Linked DNA regions of Macaca mulatta. The protein of the gene in region 3 interacts with the protein of the main gene of each other region in a pairwise test. Links are inferred from orthologs where the notes say so. Each region holds a gene or a part of one and is shown on either strand. Other genes may lie near its edges.

Region 1 (4,323 bases), on a different chromosome or scaffold from region 3:
CGGGGCGGCAGGTAGTACTCCTCCCTACATAGCAGCTAGGTATCGTTGCTTGCAAAAGCCCCACCAGCTGAGCGGCTGGCTGTCTGGGGAGGGGAGGCCTGAAAGATTTTTTTAAGGTGCAATTATAAATAAAGCCCATGGATCGCGATTTCAAACAAACTTGTCAATCCGGGCCGCAGCAAAAGGCGATGGAGGCAGCTTTGCATGTATTTCGGGTGGTGTGACTCATGAGAATTACTTGTCTCCCCTAGGGAAGGAGCCTGCCCACCCACAAGTCACTGCCGCTCTGGCACCGCTGGGATAAATCGACCAACTTGAGCACCCCTGCCAAAGGACTGCCCCCATCTGTTACCGAGCAGGAGTCTCTGACTTCGATAACCCCTCCTCAATTGTCACCACTGACCTGGCCCCCAGGTCTGGCCCTGGGGACCTCTGCCCTCTCCCCACAAGCAGAGTGCCCGGGCCTTTTGCTGCTGCAGGGATTGGGGGTTGGGTGCACGCGCGGCACACGTGTATGGGGGAGCATGCTCAGTGCGGGGGCTGTGCTCATGTGAGGCCTCCAACTAGGCTCCCTGCCCCCCAGCCCACCCACGTCCCTCACCTGCCTTGCCTTTGCCTGCCTCTTCGTGTGAAGTCCAGGAAGAAAGGCTGTCACCTGAAACGGCCCCTCTGTGTTATATGCACCCTTTCTGGACGCACACACCTCTGGTGGCCCAGAAACACCGTGTGTATAAGGCGGATGACAAGTGGATTTGAGTGCACACAGGCACAGTGGTCACTCCTTGGGAGGTCTTTAAAAACCGCCCAGATTCCTCTCTGGATGGAAGCATGCATGGAGAGATAGATATATTTTTAGTCCAGAGGCAGGGGAATACACTGCCTGACCTTTCTAGCACCTGGGCGTCCATATTGTTGGCAATGAGCGTATTCAGCAAGAGTGTGACACACGCACACACACCTGGACACACAGATGTGGACACCTACAGGACCGGGAGGCACACCTCACCCCAACCAGAGATAGAAGGGTACCCCAAGGCACAGCCCCTTTGACCTGGAGCGGGACTTGGGCCTCCAAGTCCTTCCTGCCTAATCCCCGCCCTCGCCATCCCTGGGCCCAGCGTCCCCCGGGCCACCCCACGCGGAAAGTGAAGGGGAGGGGGCTGTGAGGGTGACTCACATTGCCTCCGGGCCAGGCGAGCGCCGCAGCGGAGGCCAGGACCGCAGGCCCCGCTGCCCGCCGGGGCCGGGCATTAGCCGCGGCCCCTTTAAGCGCCCCCGCCCCCTCCCGCCCGCGCCCGGGCTTCCTTTCTCCAGGGGGCGCGGCCGGGAGCGCGCGGCGGGGCGGGGGTGCGGCCCCTCCCCTGGTGGGCAGGGCCTGCGCCGCTTCCTGCAGGAGCGGCCCGGAGCCGCGCAGGGGGCGGAGAGAGGAGTCGCGAGCGGCGGCGGGGCGGCGTGGGGCGGAGGGCGCCCGAGGGCGAGCGGGCAGGCGGGCACGGCGGGTTCCGGGCCAGCCCCGGGGCGGACGGTTGGCCGGGCGCGCGGAGCCTCGCCGGGGCCTCGCCGGAGCCGGGCCGGGCAGCAGGGGCCGCCGCCGCCGCCCGGGCCCGCCGCCCGCGCCCCCCACGCTGGCCCAGAGGGCTGCGGCCGCGTCGCCGCTGAGGATGTCCCGAAAGGGGCCGCGAGCGGAGGTGTGTGCGGACTGCAGCGCCCCGGGTAAGCGCGGCGGGGCCGGGGGCGGGACCGCACAGCCAGGCCGCCGCCGGGCGGGCGCCGGGGCCTGGCGAGAGCGCCGTGCGGGGCCGGAGGGCTGGGCTGGGCTGGGCTGGGCGGGGCGGGGGGCTGCGGCCTCCGGGCTCGGCCCCCGCCCCGGCCACTGCGGAGCCGCGTCCTTGGCGGGAGGGCTGTCCTGGGGGGCCCATGCTCCCTGGAGGCGGTGGACGAGCGAGGAAGGACGTTCCCGGCGCTGCCTCCCGCCCCTCGGTCTGAGGGAGGCGGGCAGCTGGCTGCCCCTCCACCTCCATCTCTATCCGACGGAAGCGCCAGCCTGGGGTGGCAGGAGGGCAGTGGCGGAGGCCGGCAGGGCTTGGGAGGTGGGGGCGAGTGTGGTTTTGTGTCATCTCAGTGCCACCCCCGCGTCTTGCACCTGCTGCTCGCGTGGTCGGCACGCCTGCCGGGGTGGTGGAGGGCAAGGAGCAGAGGGCCGGGCAGATGCGCCAGCGGGGCCTGGATACCGTCTCCTCAGGAGCAGATGAGCAGTGGCTACTCCCAGGACTCCCTGCCGCGGGTTCCTAAGGCTAGCGCTTTTTTGCGGGGCCTGGCGTTCAGGGCCAGTTCAGACCCGGGTGTCTTATCGGGAGGCATCACCAGGCCTGCTGGTGGTGACTGGGAACAGCTCGGCTGGACCCTGCTGTTCCTATTCACCGTAAGGCCCGCTTGGGAAAGTGAGCTTGGCATCAAGCTATCCTGGGCCCCGGCCCCTCCCTGTCCCCTAGCCCAGTCTGGCGAGAAATGGGTGGGAGGCAATGCCTAGATTCCCCGCATCCTGCTGGCTTCCTAGCCTGCCTCCTGGCTGTATTTACATGGTGGTTCTCTTCTTTTTCCTAACAGAGTCAGGACTGGGCTGGAGTGAAACCCCCCAGGCCTGCTGAGGAAGTCAGGGGTAATGATCCAAGAGTCTGCTCCCTTCTGATGGGGGAGGACAGCCAGTGACTGGGCTCTGCAGCTGGCCTGGGAAGGAAGCTCTAGCCCCCATCCATTCTTTCTTTAGAAAAGGAGCTATCTCCCTAGTAGGCCCCTGGGCAGGCTTCGGAGGTCTGTGAACTCTAGCGGGGCTGTGGGCATTATTAAGAGTGAGATTATGGGGTGCTGGTTTGTGGGTCCATAACTTTCAGCCACCCCTTGAGCAAGCCCAGGACCCCACAGGTTGAGCCTCACAGATGCTCTGGTGGTTCTGGGGGTGGTGCCAAGCTAGACGGTTTGGGAACTGTGACCCAGCAGGGCTTGGGCACAAGATACTCTCCTCCTTGGGGCTTTTGGTTTAGAGGGCCCTGGGGTTGAGGGTCCATACCCCTAAGAAACTATGACTCCCTTCCCCCAGCTGCAGGCAGGTCTGGGGATGGCAGGGCTGAGGACACACCTTGCCTTATAAATGTCTGCCCACTGTTCCGCACCTCCATGGGGTGAGCATGGCATGCATGTGGAGGAGAGGCTTAGCAGGCACCCTATCGGGGAAGCCTGGGGCATAGTGTTGCCTTTGTTCCCAGCTTACTCTGTAACCCCAAAAAGACTTTCCTCACTGTGGGGGCCTCAGTTTCCTCAATTAGGAGGCAAAGAAATTGGAGTAGAAATGGTTTCTGGGGGGGCTGTGATCTGATTCTGGGGTGGAGGGGTGAAGGGCAGCACCAGCAAGGCAGCAAGGCAGTTGTCCTTTCTCTGTTGCATTGAATGTCATCCAAAGCCTCTGGATGCCCAGTGGGCTCAGGGAGGAATGGTGGGCATCAGATGTGTTGGATTGCCCAGCTCCTACTCCTAGGTCCTCATCCGTCAGAGGAATTTGTGCCCCAGATGACTCTTTTCCCCTGATACACAATAGAGGTCAGGAAGATGGTGAGAAGGTGAGGATGGTGGGGTGGGGAGGATATGGACAGTCTTACACATCAGCCCACCTAGCACCCAGCGAAGTGTCCAGCACATGGCAGGCGCTCCCTGAGTGTCTGGCTTCTTGTCGGGACCCTGGCTGGCTGCTTGGGACTATCCCACACCTGGACCCTAGGATGCTGGCCCTGGCATGCAGCGACGTGTTTGGTCTGGGTCCTGTGGCATCTCAGGCAGAGAGGCATGAGGGTACCCAGCAGTCTGGAGTCCAGATCCAGTGCCAGCCCCATGGTGTATCGCTCCACCCCAGGGTCACAGCTTTCTTTTATTGTGATAGGAGCCCTGCAGTCCCAGCCACAGGAGTGGGGCCAGGGACTTTTTGTGCTTGGTTAATTTGAGGAGTCATGGAGGTCAGAGGTGAGATGCAGCCTGCCCCCAGAGAGCCCCATCCTCCCTCTGCTCCCGGGCCTGGGCACCCGGGACAAGTGCGAGTGTGTTGGTAGGCAACTGGACATGGCGTGGCTGCTCTGGCAGCTTGTGCCACCTCGTCAGGCACCGTGTGCATTCCTGCCTGCCTGGGGCGTCCAAGAGAGGAAGGGGGCAGGGAGCCCTGGAGAATGTGCATTTTCCCCTTTCCTTTGCCTTGGCCCACCTTGCCACATGGTCTCAGTCAAGGGCCTCTCCTCACCCCATGGGCTTCTATCTCAGCCTTTTCCACTTTGGCAGCCC
Region 2 (4,280 bases), on a different chromosome or scaffold from region 3:
TCCATTGGTAAGCCACGTGAGGAATTAAGTGTCGTTCTCCCTGTTGAGCTTCCAGGCTTGCCATATTCTCCAAGAACTACACACTGAAGTTGCAGAAAGCATATAATAGACGACATAGCTTCAGCTATTTAAGTTCCAATTTTAAAAGTACTTTACATAATCTAAAGGTACATGTATAAGACCATTCAGCTTCAGCAATAAATAAAGTCTTACTCTAGTGAAAATGCAGGAAGTTTTGGGGAAATATTACCTAGCACATTTTGAAATAGAAGCAATGCTTTATTTCAGAGAAGAAAATGCAGATTGAAAGGTTTTAAAATATTAAAGACAGTTTAGCATCAATTGAAGAAATAACATTTTCTAGAAACAACAGAGAATAAAAGTTACAATAATATTATCAACAACTTGCAAATGATTCAAAACAGATTTTATGGCCAAAATGCTGAAAGTTGGGCCCTATACACCAAAGGGCACATACAAATGCATATAAAGGCAAAGCACCAGTTAAATGATTCACAGTCTCATGTAAAGCCCATCAAATAGATAAATCTGGAAAATCTTTGGATGTACATTGTGACTTTTGTATCTCAACTAGCACTTTGGGACCTTGGACAAGGTGTTAGGAAAGAAATCAATATTTACTCAGGACCAAGACTTTCAAGATGACTGCGTGAGGTAGAAGGAAGAGGGAGAAGAAGAACTTGCCCAAAGTTCACTGTTAATCTACTATGTCCGATTCTGTGGGAGTCTTCATGGCCATGTTCAGTAATGATTGCATACTGACAGTACTGATAAAACCATCAGTGTTTTGTTCTCAGAGCTTTTGATCCTTTCATTTTGTTAGTATGTTTTTGCCCTACATGATGGGTCCACATACCGACAGAGACATGTACAACTTGCCTCTATCATCAACTCCTTACCGGCTAGTTGAGCTAAGTTATTCCTGGTGGCCTCTGAGTAAACTGCAAGAACAGAAGCATTACTAAGCATCCCTGTCTGAGTGCAAGGGTGTGTGTTGGCAGTACAGCCCCAATCTTGCAAAATCCTTCTTCCAATGTTCCTTCCCGCTCTGTATGAACCCTGTGTTGGGGGGCAGGAGATGGAAGCCCTTGGCAAGCTCGATTGAACTAAGCTACTAAATTGCTGAGCTCGTTTTAGTTGAAGTGTGAGAAGGAGGTTTAAGGCAAGTAGACAACATCCTGTTGTTTGGGTGCTTCTCTCTTTTTTGCACATCTGGCTGAACTGGGAGTCAGGTGGTTGACTTGTGCCTGGCTGCAGTAGCAGTGGCATCTCCCTTGTACAGTTCTCCTCCTCGGCCTGCCCAAGAGTCCACCAGGTCATGGACGCAGTGGCTGTGTATCATGGCAAAATCAGCAGGGAAACAGGCGAGAAGCTCCTGCTTGCCACTGGGCTGGATGGCAGCTATTTGCTGAGGGACAGCGAGAGCGTGCCAGGAGTGTACTGCCTGTGTGTGCTGTGAGTATGATACAGTGGGCATGGGCCTGCTGAGGGTGTGGGCGGTGGGCAGCGGCAGCTGGGGCCAGGGTGGAGGCCGAGGCAGGCAGGGGCGCCGGCATTAGCAGCTCGCCGACGACGCCTCCATGGTCCGCCCTCAAGTCCAGCCCAGGGCCGTGGTGAAACACACTTTCGCCTGAGTCCCTCGCTGGGGATTTCATTCCCTGGGCCACCTGCTCTCCAGAAGGCCCTCACCAGAGCCTTTTGGGGCAGCCGCAGAGAATACCCTTTCGGGTGCTGAAATGTGGTCTAGAGTTTACCTTCGCTCCAGGAAAGACCCAGGCTCCCCACTTCTATTTTGAACCCTATCGGGTGGTGCCCTGGGAGCCTTACTCTAGCTCTCTTTAAACGACTTTTGAAGTGTCATCCCAAAGGAAGGGCATGACATTCAGGGAGAGGAGACACATTAAGAAACAGAGTCAATTACTTTAAGAATGCAATGCCAGTAAAGTCGAGATGCTGAGAGAGGAGGGGGATGTGTATGAGTAAAATCACCTCTCTGGATCTGCTGATGTAGCATCCTTTAGAAAAGTAGTGGGGGGTGGGGAGGGGCAGGGGATTTCAGAAATAGGACCCTTCTTGATAAACGTTAGGACTCACAATAGTCTTAAAGGGAATGGAGGGAAAACACCCTTGTTATGATTCAGCTTTGCCATTTGCCTAGGCATGTCTCAGTCTAAGGCTTCATTTTGAATCAAATTCATCTGCGTCTTTGCTCCAGGGCTCCGGAGTCAGGCAGATCTGAGACTTTCTCCTGTGCTAGTCAGATGTTAGGCTTGTGACCTGGGCAAATTAACCTCTCAGTCCCCCAGTTTTCTTATCCATTGAATAGGTATCATATTACTGCCTACCTCATAGGATTGTAAGATTAAGTGCTATAATGCAGTAAAAAAATTAGCACTGGGGCCTGACACCTAGTAAATGTTCAATAAATGTAAGCTATTGGTATTGTCATTATACCAAAAATATATTGTTATTTTATCTTCTCTTTTCAGTTGATTTCTTTTAGGAATCATGGGGGCATTTCTAAGGAAGGACCTAGCTCAAGCATTATTGTCAGCAGGATAAAAAAAATCCATGAAAACAGCAGCCCTGCATAGTAGGTTCTAGACAGAAACCAAATGAGGTTAAATGCTTGGTAGTAAGTTCAGCATCTGATGATACCCCACAAGAGTTTGAAATACCTTATGGGTCAGTGAAGAAAGATTATCCTGATGCTGGTGCTAGAGGATTTTCACTGTATATTGGTTTTCAAAAATGGTCAAGCCTTGTTTGTGGCAGCTCTCAGGTCATGCTAAATACATTTTTCATAAAGGCTTCCAGGGAAATACGTGGAAGTTATTGAATGTCTTGGGCTTGAATCTTTATGTTTTGCTTATATAATTATGTTCCCGTGTGGAACCTAGGGAAGGGCAATGAAAATCAGCTAGGATTCTTAGGCTCTTTTCTCATTGAGAGAAGGTGGAGTGAGTGGGTGGGTGAAAGGCGCTGCTTTAGGGAAACTGACAAAGGAGATAATGTGCTCCTTAACCCAAAGGTGAAAAAGAACATACAAAACAAGTCTGGGCAGGGGAGGGACAACAGGGTATAGTGAGAGGCAAGATACACCTAAGACTTCAGCCTCACCAGGCTCCTGGCCGTTTCTCAAGCTCCTCAAAAATGCCCCCACTTAGGATTTCTGTGCTTATTGTTCCTTCTGCCAAAAATACCTTCAGTTCACATGTTTGTTCAACTGCCTCCTCCCTCAGAGAGGACTTGCTTGGCCACCTATCTAGAACAAGTGCCCTCTCTCTGTCCCTGATACACTCACTCCATCTCTTTATTTTTGTTCAAAGAGCTTTAAACTATTTGATAATTTGCCTGTTTACCTACTTATTGCTGGGCTGTCCTGCAAAAATATAATCTCCATGAGGACGGAGACATTGTCTCCATCACCAGGAACACAGGAACACATAATAGGCACTCAGCAGATATTTTTGAATTAACAAACTGTTAAGGCAAATTCTATTCTTTACTGCAAGAAAAGGAATGAACATCGAGAGGTTAGGGTGTGGACCCTGGGAAAGTCACTCAAATTCTCTGGGCCTCAGTTTCCATATTTATAAAACAGGAATAGTAATGTGTATCCTACCTTCTGCAAAAGATTGCCTTAAGTACCATATACAAGAGAGAAGGACAACTTTAGCCTTTTTCCTATGTGGGCCAGAACCACATGAGGAATTAACTTAGGCAGGTGAGAAATTCTCAAGCATTTAAGTTTTTGCCCAAAGTGAATCTTGCATAAATGCTTTTTTTATGACTCTCAGTTCTCCATGAAAACTGCCTTGTGAAGTAGCGGAAAATACTAGACAAATTGGGAGTTCCCTTACGGTGTCTTTCAAATGGTACACTGGGGACTCAAAGTCTTATGAGACTGTTTGGGTGATAGCCAGAATGTACTGCAGAGGGAAGATATAAGGATACATTGCCTTTTATCAGTTTCTCAACGTTTTTGAGTTGAGTGTCCCTTTTGACAAATGTAAAAAATTCATTCCCTCTTTTTGGTGCTACACTGTAATTATAAAATCAAATTTTATTTAGAAATAAACCATGTACTCATTTTAAACCAAAACACTTATGCTTATGATATGTAGTCGAAATAACAATATAAATGGTGTCACGTACACATGGACAACAAGGTATAGCTGACAAACATGCATTGAATGTAGGGTTTACTCAGAATGGTTTCTCATTCTATCTTTTGTTTACTCCTATTAACCAAGAAG
Region 3 (4,319 bases):
AGGCAGTAGACAGCACTTTGTGAGGGTTCCTAACCAGTCGCTGTTATCACCGAGCACATTGTCCTCGTAATCCAGAATTCAAACTGGCATTTGAATATTTTGCGTATTTGCAAAGAAAATTTTAACTACTTAACTCAGGCTAGAAATAAAAGCAATTAGTGATTGCAAGAGAAATCCACCGGCAGAAGGCAGAGGGAGACGACTTAAGCCTCTGATTATTTTTGGAAGCTTTATATGCTTTCTAGCCTTTGTCATTGAATGGATTAATGTATGTGCCTGGCACAGAGTAAGCGCTTTGCTTGTTAAACTGCCCGCGGGTCACAGCGAGCAAACTGGGGGAGCGCCCAGGGACAGTAGATGGAGTGAGTGCAGGCCCGCGTCCTTTTAAGAAGCGGCTCCATTTCTTCCTCGCATGTCAATGTGTGCGTGTCATCAGTTGTTCGAGGAAGCTCGCGCATGACGCGACACTTGCCGTCTGGGCTCTCCAGGTTCGGCGTGGCGCGTTCACAGCCCAGATCTTCGGCGTCCCAGAGACGCAGCCCGGCGCCCGGCCCGGCCCTCCGCAGAGCCCCACTTCAGGCCGCGCCGTTTCCTTGACCTTCCCCCGGTGGGGTCTGAAGCGTCACGGCCCGTCTAGAGCGGAGTCACGCAGGCCCCTGCCCGGCCCGGTGAGGTCGGCGCCGCGCTCGGGAGAGTCGGTTCCTTCCGATTCAGACCCATCTGGCTGCAGATGGAACCATCATTTGTGTTCCGTAATGACCGGCTTGCAAGGTAGCAAAGGGAAACAAATGTCTGGTTTTCAGCCTCTCCCCGCCACCTTGAAATAAAACCGGCAAAAATAAAAAGAGCATTCTGGGAAGTACTTCATCATTTCAACGCTCACGAATTCAAAACATAAACAAAGGGTTCCCGGGGTCCGGGCCAGGGGCGCGGGGCGCGCGGCGGGCCCGGGGCAGGTGAGCGCAGGTGCGCGCCCGCCCCCCCACCCCGGGTACCCCCGGCTCCCTCCCCACCCGCTCCCCGCTCCCCGCTCCCCTTTCCCTTCCCCGCCCGCTCCCCGCCGCCGCCGCCGCCCCGCGCACGGCCTGGAGCGGAGGCTGCGCAGGGCGCGGGGCGGCGCGGGCCGGGCGCGGGCCGGGCGGACGGCCGCGTCTTTCTTCTCCTGGCGGTGATGTCATTGGGCGACGGCGGCCGAGGCCGGGGGGCGGCGGCGGGGGCGGCGGCGGGCGCCCGCAGGTTCCCGAGCCGCTCCTGAGAAAGCGCCTGACAGCGGGCCGGGGCGCACGGAGGAGCGGGCCGGGCCGGACCTGCTGGGCCGCGCCGAGCCAATCGCCGGCGCCGGCCGCTCCATGGGCGAGGAGGCGGCGGCGGCGGGGGCGGTGGGGGCCGCGGGCCGGGCCGCCGCTCCGAGGTGAAAGCGCGCGCCCCTCCCCGCCTGCCTCCCGGGCCGCAGCGATGAATTCCGCGGAGCAGACCGTTACGTGGCTCATCACCCTGGGGGTGCTGGAGTCGCCCAAAAAAACCATCTCGGACCCGGAGGGCTTTCTGCAGGCGTCGCTGAAGGATGGGGTGGTCCTCTGCAGGCTGCTGGAGCGCCTGCTCCCCGGGACCATCGAGAAAGTAAGTCCCGGCCCGCGCCCCCGCCCGCGCCCCCCGGTCCGGCCCGCTGCGGCCCGGGATGCGCGCGGAGCACCTGGGGCCGGCCGCGCTCGGGGAACCCGTGCGCCCTCCTTTGTACGCGGAGCGGCGGTACGGCCGGCGCCAGGACCGTGGCGGGAGCTCGGGGGGCGCCATTGTGTGCGGGGCAGGGGGAGGGGCGGCGCGGGCGGGGGGTCCCCGGGAAGGAGAGTGCCCCGCGGCGAGGAGACGGGGCTGCTGCGCCGCCCGAACGCTAAGTTGCCCCTCCGCGTGGGGGGCCGGCCCCGCTTCTTGGCAGCAGCCTGATCGGAAGCCGCGTTCCGACGCCGTGCGGCTCCCTCCGCTGGCTTTGTGTGGACAGTTCTTGCCGGCGGCGTTGCGTGAGTTTCGCCTCCCAGGTTAATTGACCGGTTGCTCTGTGTTTTTTAAGATGCACGCATCTGTAGCTGAGGGCTGCGCTCTGAAATGATCTACTACTTTCCCCCTCGAGAAAATTCCCCACCTATCCGAGCCGAGAGGACGGCGGACACAGGGTCTAAGCCCTGGCACTCTTCAAGGCTTGTTTGAAATTCTAGATTTCCTTCTCAGGTCCCTCCCTGGTTCTGAACAGAACCTTTAGTCCTGCAGGCACTGCCTCTCCCTTCCGGCTGGTGGTTCCCAGGCTGGAGCGTGTGAACCCTGACCCGAATCTCTGGAAGTGATTAAAGTTTGTTTTCATCGCCCACAAGCCGGCCAGCAGGGCCGAGGACCCAGGAGAGCTGCTAAAAACCATGTCTCCCTGTAGCTCAAAATACTAACATCTTATTCTCAGGGTGTTTTCTCGGGGAGTGGGGTGGAGGTGGGGGTGGCCAAGATATAGCGTTAAGATCAACAGTTATTTAAAAGGTGTGAAATGTAGAAACTGAAGTGTATCATAATTAGGAAGAAGGATTTCAGTTTTTAAGTGGGGTGTATTGGCCCCCATACAGGAAGACAACTTATAAACAAAATGCCACGTAAGTGACTTGAAAAAGTAAAATGTTTAATCTTATTCATACACATGCACATATTCTGGTGCTGCATTTTAAATGAGGTCAGAAAACATTTAATATGAATTTGGCTTGCGTTCCAGTTTTAGGTATTTTTCTTACTTGGAACATCTTTATGAAAACGGAATCTGCATATTAGAGTGAATGGCTGCCTGCCTGTCCATGAAATAAAAATGTTCCTTAGAAATGAACCTGATGTCACAGTGAAATTACGATTTAAGACAGGAGGACTAAGGAGCAGGATCTGACTTTCAAGGCATTCAAAATACTTTGCTGTTTGGATACTGGTACCTCTGGTAATAAAAGACAGATGTTGAGAAGTGTTGAAATACATGCAAAGTTCACCAAAATAGGCTTAAATAAAATTCTCTTCTATCTCCAAGAGCAAAGTTTTAAGAAACGTCATATGCTGTGTTGATAAAAACGTGTCGCCATCAAAGAATACGTTGTTTGGCATATTAACTGCATTAATATTGATTGGCAGACTTAAATAATCATCTTTTAAATTATAGAAAGATTTTCCTACAAAATGGTAGCATTCATTTCATCTCTAAAACAACAAAGAGAAGAACGAATAAAATGTTGAGCTTGCAGAAGCCAAGTTGAAACAACTCAACATATTCTAAAACTACAGTCATTTGGAAATTTCTTAGGTCAAAGCTGTTTTTCATTCCCCCTGAGCTGTAGTTGGTTTGTTTTAAACTGACTCTGTCACAATGAAAGTTTAATGTCAAGGTAGCATATTGTAGACACAGTTACTGGTTCTCTGGAGTTCAAAGGTAGGTTTTTGGAGTAAAATATTAGCCATTCTCTGCCTCTGAGAGCCCTGCGTTTCAGAAGTTTTGTGAGCTTTTTCCATTTCCCAGGCAGAGTTATCTGGCCGGCCGGTCTTCCTTCCTTCCTTCCTTCCTTTCTTTTTTCCTTTCTTTTTCTTCCTTTCTTCCTTTCTTTCCTTTCTTTCTTTCCTTTCTTTCTATGGGTTCTTGGTATGTTGGCCAGGCTGGTCTTGAACTCCTGGCCTCAAGGGATTGTCCCATCTCGGCCTCCCCAGGTGTTGGGATTACAGGCGTGAGCCACCACGCCCAGCCAATTATCTGGGTTTTTGGTGTTTTCATGCTTACCAGATAATTTATGCCACGAAGCACACAAGCTGAATAACTTTTACTGAAATGTGGGAATGTGAGTCTGAGGATGTTTTTTCCTTAAAAAGAAGCATTTGGAAACTTAACTGAATATTCATGTGGACATGACAGGGGCTTCACTTGACCTCTGCTGCAGGAGTGCCCTGACAGCCAGTGAGTGGAGGGCAAGTGGTCTGCAGCCTTCGCCTCTGCAGTCTCACAACCTGGCATGGGCCATGAGGCTGGGGATGAGGGCAGAACTAAGAAACGTGGCTGGGTGCCTTGGGCTTCCCATATGTCTTTTATTAAGAAACCATGTCCTAATGTGTTTCTTCCATTACGCTCATTTGTTCTGTTTCAGAGTTAGGAAGAGGGTGGAGGGAGCAGAGAGGACGTTCACAGAGTGTCAGATTCTTCTGCTCATTTAAAGGAAACTTTCCACCCAGGTTCCCGCTTTGCTTTCAAGGTGGAAGGTTAGACGGTGAGAAGATGGAATTATAAACTACATGAACAGTTCAGAAAAGAGACGCTT

The links.
Region 1: the proteins of ARHGEF7 (region 3) and GIT1 interact in binary tests that used the Homo sapiens proteins (3 or more experiments, as listed by UniProt). The link is inferred for Macaca mulatta from reciprocal best matches to the Homo sapiens genes ARHGEF7 and GIT1.
Region 2: the proteins of ARHGEF7 (region 3) and SH2D1A interact in binary tests that used the Homo sapiens proteins (3 or more experiments, as listed by UniProt). The link is inferred for Macaca mulatta from reciprocal best matches to the Homo sapiens genes ARHGEF7 and SH2D1A.

What each region holds. Positions count from the first base shown.
Region 1 is NC_133421.1:38,328,472-38,332,794, reverse strand, and holds the start of GIT1 (ARF GTPase-activating protein GIT1), read left to right. Parts: upstream 1-1,382; 5' UTR 1,383-1,429; exon of another isoform or gene 1,430-1,582; 5' UTR 1,583-1,661; coding exon 1,662-1,713; intron 1,714-4,323. UniProt on the Homo sapiens protein: GTPase-activating protein for ADP ribosylation factor family members, including ARF1.
Region 2 is NC_133426.1:130,790,846-130,795,125, forward strand, and holds the start of SH2D1A (SH2 domain-containing protein 1A), read left to right. Parts: upstream 1-1,339; coding exon 1,340-1,476; intron 1,477-4,280.
Region 3 is NC_133422.1:105,476,159-105,480,477, forward strand, and holds the start of ARHGEF7 (rho guanine nucleotide exchange factor 7), read left to right. Parts: upstream 1-1,318; 5' UTR 1,319-1,455; coding exon 1,456-1,620; intron 1,621-4,319. UniProt on the Homo sapiens protein: Acts as a RAC1 guanine nucleotide exchange factor (GEF) and can induce membrane ruffling. Functions in cell migration, attachment and cell spreading. Promotes targeting of RAC1 to focal adhesions. May function as a positive regulator of apoptosis.